Callithrix jacchus: one gene and its partner. The protein of the gene in region 2 purifies or fractionates together with the protein of the main gene of each other region. This does not show direct contact. Links are inferred from orthologs where the notes say so. Each region holds a gene or a part of one and is shown on either strand. Other genes may lie near its edges.

Region 1 (3,585 bases), on a different chromosome or scaffold from region 2:
ATGCGTCACTCCTTCCCAGCCCCATGAATTCAAGTATGAATCCCAGCAAGCAGCCTGGGCCCAGTGGTTCATGCCTGTAATCCCAGCACTTTGAGAGGCTGCAGGTGGATCAAGAGGTCAAGAGACTGAGACCATCCTGGCCAACATGGTGAAACCCTGTCTCTACTAAAAACACAAAAATTAGCTGGGCGTGGTGGCACATGCCTGTAGTCCCAGCTACTTAGGAGGCTGAGGCAGGAGAATCGCTTGAACCAGGGAGGCAGAGGTTGCAGTGAGCCAAGATCATGCCACTGTACTCCAGCCTGGCAACAGAGCAAGACTCTGTCTCAAAAAAAAAAGGCCTACAAATGGAATATCCTATAGTATTCTAGTTCAGAAATCCAAAATGGGTCTCCCTAGGCTGGAATCCTGGTGTTGGCAGGGCTGAGTTCCTTCTGCAGGTTCCAGGGGAGAGTCCACTTCTCTGCTCTTTCCAGCTTCCAGAGGCACCCCTGTTCCTTGGCTTGTGGCCCCTCCTCCATTTCCACACCGAGCAGGAGCTGCCAAGTCCCTCTGATGTCACTCTGAGCCCCCAGGATGGCCTAGGAGCCCCTCCACACTGTGGGCCAGCTGACCTGTGACCTCAATCACCCAGCCAGGGAAGGTGCCGTGTTCACAGGCTCTGGGGATAAGGCATGGACCTCTCTGGGGACCATGATTCTGCCTCCCACCCTATAACACAAGGGTACGACCCACTCTGCACAAACCCTCACCTCGTTATCCAGCTCCAAGCCAACCAGTGTCTCCTGCATCTTCTCCTGGCGTCCCAGCTTCCTCTGTAGCCCTTCCACCTCCTCCTGGAGCAGCCCATTGGTCTCTCTCATCTCCCTGGCAGTGCCACAAAGAGTTGCTCAAATAGCCACACACCCTGGGGATGAAGCCAAGAGCCCAGGAGCCCTGCCCCTACAGGGTCTGCAACACAGGCTCCTGCACACAAACCCAGACTCACTACAGGCTACTCCATCCCCCATGCCCCCTCACCGCAGGCGTGCACTCTCCTCCCGCAGCTGTTTCAGCTCCCGTTCCAGCCTAGGGAGTCGCACCAGCTCAGACTTCATGTTCTTCACAATAGCAGCATCCTGCTCTTGTAGGGACAGCTTCTGCTCCAGATCCTGATGGAGGCCAGGGACAGAGAAGAAGGGAAAAATGAACTATGAAGAGACCTGGAGAAAATCACACGCACACGACTAAGAGAAAGAAGCTGGTCTGCAATGGCTACAGGAGCTAGGATCCAACCACGGACATTCTGGGAAAGGGGGAACTATAGAGACAGCAAAAGTTTGGGAATTGTCAGCGACTCAAAAGGAGAGAGTCAGGGATTAACTGGGGGAGCACAAAGGATTTTTAGGCAGTAAAACCCTTCTGTGTGACACTCTAACAGTGAATATAGGACATTTTACATTTGCCCAAACCATACACTGTCCCACTCTAGGAGAGACACTTGAGTGACCTGTGGACTCTCCCTGACACTGATGCATCAAGACAGGTTCATAACCGTCATATGTGCTCCACTCTACCAGGAAAGGCGGTGTGTGCTTTTTTTTGGGGGGGGGGTCGGGGAACAGGGGTGCACAGGAGCTCTACCTTCTGCTCATTTTGCTGTGAACCTAAATCTGCTATAGAAAAAAGCATCCCCTAAAGAGTAAAGTCACTGAGGCCAGGAAGTTCCTCCACTAAACTGCCCCAGGTCCTCAGCAGCCTCCATGGCTCAGGACTCTCCTCTGGGAGGCCTTCCCGGGCTGCACCAGGGCCCTCAAAGCTGCTTCCAATACTGAGCCTCGGCATTCAGTCCAGGGCAGCTCTTCCCAACACCGTCCTCCCAGCCCACTGCACACTGGGAGCTGGCACTCACCACACACCGCTGGGCTACTGTGCACACCACTGTCCTGCCCTCAGGGAGCTATCTAGAAGCAAAAGTCTATCTCAAGTCTGGCCCAAGATGACACTCCATGGTGAAACATCCCATCCTCCTGTGTCAAGCCCACTTCTGCCCCTCTAGTAGCATGTGTGTAACGGCTTACTCTTTCCAATAGTGAGGACAGGCTTTTCCCTATGGTACCCAGTCTCCTTGGGACACAGACAGCTGACATCTGTGAGCAGCAAGTCAGTGAACAGGCAGAGGATGAAACCACAACCAAACCAGATGGTCATTCAACAAACACTAACAGAGTCCATCTCTGTGCGATGTACCAAGTCAAGTGGCAGACACCAGGCCTCACCAGCCAGCAAATCCTGACAGGTGGGCCGAGGGATGCAGACAGGAGGATGAGGGGCCAGGGAACACCACCAGGAGGTGACATGGCAGAGGCTAGGTTGGGGGTGACAGTCAGCTCTGCAGCCAGGAAGAGCTGGTTTGAGGCATGGAGGTGAGGGTACATGGGGGGCCAATAGGGCACAGCTGGAGCACAAGGTCTGAAAGCTGCTCTCCAGGCAACAGGAGGTAGGAGAGGGATCCGGAGTCGGCGTCTCCCTGGCATGCCCTCCACAGGGAAAGGGCACAGCATGAGCTTGAGTAGGTCACCCCGACTGAGACCCAGCTCCAGCTGTGCAACTGTGGGCAGATTTCTTAGCCCCTCTATGCCTGTATCACCTTCTCACACTCTTCAGCACTTGACATCATCATACATTCGGACACTCTCTTCGTGTCTCTGGTCAGTCTCCATCCTCTAGAATGCACACTCCCTGAGGTCAGCAGCATCTGCCCCATTCACCATGGCATCCCTGGTGCCCAGCAAAATGCCCACCACACAGGGCAGCAGCAAATCTCACAGGAGGCCCACAGAGCTCGGCACTGGTGCAGAAAGGCCGACAAGGGCAAGAGAGCCAAGGCCACCACAGGGATGTCCACAAGGCACCTGACACAAGCAACTCACCTTAATCTGCTGCTCTTGATCTGCTCTCGTTTCTTGGCTGGCCTGGAGTTCCTGGATTTTCTGACTGGCTTCCTGCCATTTTCTATTAAAAAAAAATACATCACATACAGAAACAGGCATGTGGCAAGGCCAACAATTCTCTTCAGCCTGAGATCCGCCCCAGCACAGACCCACACACTCTCACTCCCACCCCAAGGTTCAGGACCCCCACCTGCACACACCCCTCCACACACACTCCCACTGCATGGGTACCCTAAGGTCCTGGGTCCCAGCCCCTGCTGGCTGGCTCTGAGGCCTCAGTCTGCTCATCCGCACAGAGTGCATAGTGAGCCCAAGCCACCTGCAAGGTCCTCGACAGCAGCGGCACCCACACTTTCACCTGCCGGCCGCAACCCGCAGCCCTGGTGCAGTTGTGGCAGAGCCCCGCCCAGAAATGACCTCTCCTCTCTACTACGAAACTAGAACTCTCCTAAAACCACATCTGCCGAGGGAAGGGTCAAACCCTTTAGGAGATGCCCATGGTGCTGGGCATCTCCTAAATGCTGGGTAGGAGAAGCCCATGGTGCTGGGCATCTCCTAAATGCTGGGTAGGAGATGCCCCCGGTGCTGGGCATCTTAGGAGGTGCTGACTGCACCTCCACACAAGGCTCTCATGTCTGTACCTTGGCTGAGC
Region 2 (2,282 bases):
CAAAATAGCCTCAATCAAGCCTGACAAGGCTTTTTTTGAGACAGAGTCTCCGTGTCACCAGGCTGGAAAGCAGTGGCATGATCTCGGCTTACTGCAACCTCTACCTCCTGTGTTCAAGCAATTCTTCTGACTCAGCCTCCCAAGTAGCTGAGACTACAGGCGTGTACCACCATGCCCAGCTAATTTTTGTATTTTTAGTAGAGACGGGGTTTCACCGTGTTGGACAGCATGGTCCCGTCTCTTGACTTTGTGATCTGCCACCTCGGCCTCCCAAAGTGCTGGGATTATAGGCATGAGCCACCACGCCCAGCCTTTTTTTTTTTTTTTTTTTTTTTTGAGACAAGTCTTACTCGTCACCTAGGCTGAAGAACATGGGATTACAGGTACCCACCACCATGCCCATCTAACTTTTTTGTAGTTTTAGTAGAGACGGGGTTTCACCATCTTAGCAGGCTGGTCTTGAACTCCTGACCTCGTGATGCACCCGCCTCAGTCTCCCAAAGTGTTGGGATTACAGGTGTGAGCCACTGCACCTGGCCAAGCCTGACAAGTTTCTTCAAGTCAAAACAGTTTCAGGAAAATATAATAAGAATCTATTTATATTTAAGTTCATGAGTCACATCCACATTATGTTCCTGGTAAAAATTCAGAAAGAACACAGCAAAGAGCAGAAAGGGCCACCTCCATAGAGTGTCTGTCTATGGACCCATCTTTGCTTTCCAATCCCTAACAGAAACACTGACCCAGCACCCTCTGGGAAGATCAACCTTTGATTCAAAGAGATGTTGTTCAGCAATGATTACAGTCACAGCTACATGCCATCAGCCCACCAGGAAATCTGAGGAAGGAGGCAGACAACCAAAAGGAGAGTTGCTTCCTCTCTCACCAGGAAGCAACTCTAGCTCCAAACTAGATAGGTGATTCAGTGCCACATGGAGAAAGATAATTCAGCCATTGTGTTTTCAGGATTAAGAAGCGCTCATTCACTCGCGGAAGCCTTTAAGTGTCACTGGTGCCTGGAACCAAATGTAGTCTTCCCAAGCCGTGGTTCGGATGGAAGGTCTGCCACATGACAGGGTCACAGTCAGTTTGTGGCCCCGGCTGGGCACTCGATAGTTGAGCTTGGGTCGAAACCAATCTTCTCCACAGTCGCGGTGTCCCTGTGCCATGATGATGGTGCCCATGAGTGGAGGAGCCTGAAGCTCGCTGAAGGCATCAGCCATGAATATGGCTCTGAAGAGATGGCGCAAACAAGCTGCTGTGCTCAGGCTCTGATCCACGCTGTAGGGGGCCAGCCGAGACAAGTCGAGTTCGTAGAACTCCTTGGGGCTTAGGGCATTGCCCCCAAGGAGAATCAGCACTCGTGGTACTAGTGTCCGTGCAAAGAAGTCCTCTAGATGGCTGAGGACACTCTCCAGTTCTGCCAGGGCTTGTTGGCATTTCCTGCTGCTCACCTCAGTGGTGGCCCGAGGTTTCTTCTTCAGCATCTCCTCTGTCTGTAAGGACAAACAATGGTGGGAGAGAAGGATAAGACAAGGAGAAGCTAATGCCCTTTGAAAAGAACCCTGCTGGGATGTGTACATAGACTTACAGGACTAAAGTTCTAGCTCAATGAACTGCCATAGCTAAAACACTGTGTTTTATCAGAGGGCATTATATTGAAAAGGAAAATATATTATTTGTACAAAACCATAATTCTCCCACATTTAGAGGAGCAAACAGTGTTCTGAAGGTGGAGGGCATCCAGATATAAGCAACTAAACAAGAGATTTGATGGCATGACAAGTGATAACAGGAATGAGGATTATTTGGTCTAATAAACATAACTTTGAACTTGTTCTTCCACTTAAATAGTAAACTGAACACATGCTTATTTGTGCTTCCACCTGAAATACTACAAAATGAGAGGAAAGAAATTAAGAAACAAAGAAAGGAAAGAGCAAGAAAGAGAACGCCAAAGGGCAAAAGAACTGGAGACTATACAACACTGGCCAAAGGCAAACACAAAGTTTTGGAAGATAGCAGATGAAGAGGCCGGGCATGGTAGCTCACACCTGTAATCCAAACACTTTGGAGGCCAAGGTGGGCAGATCACCTGAGGTCAGGAGTTCAAGACCAGCCTGACCAACATGGTGAAACCCTGTCTTAAAAAAAAAAAAAAAAAAAAAAAAAAGCAGATGAGGAGTTAAGAGTTCAAGTGAGCTGAATACCAAGTGCTGACAGAAGGGACTCCCAAGGGATCCAAACTGATTCATAGAGCAGAACCCCATAAAGGTTTAGTA

What was found. Proteins that work in one complex are often made in the same cells at the same time.
Region 1: the proteins of MAD2L1BP (region 2) and MAD1L1 purify together in Homo sapiens (co-immunoprecipitation; 4 studies listed by BioGRID and IntAct, with this or other methods). This does not show direct contact. The link is inferred for Callithrix jacchus from reciprocal best matches to the Homo sapiens genes MAD2L1BP and MAD1L1.

Annotation. Positions count from the first base shown.
Region 1 is NC_133503.1:56,827,773-56,831,357, reverse strand, and holds part of MAD1L1 (mitotic spindle assembly checkpoint protein MAD1), read right to left. Parts: intron 2,995-3,585; coding exon 2,913-2,994; intron 1,152-2,912; coding exon 1,021-1,151; intron 868-1,020; coding exon 753-867; intron 1-752. UniProt on the Homo sapiens protein: Component of the spindle-assembly checkpoint that prevents the onset of anaphase until all chromosomes are properly aligned at the metaphase plate.
Region 2 is NC_133505.1:52,113,287-52,115,568, reverse strand, and holds the end of MAD2L1BP (MAD2L1-binding protein), read right to left. Parts: intron 1,497-2,282; coding exon 984-1,496; 3' UTR 584-983; downstream 1-583. UniProt on the Homo sapiens protein: May function to silence the spindle checkpoint and allow mitosis to proceed through anaphase by binding MAD2L1 after it has become dissociated from the MAD2L1-CDC20 complex.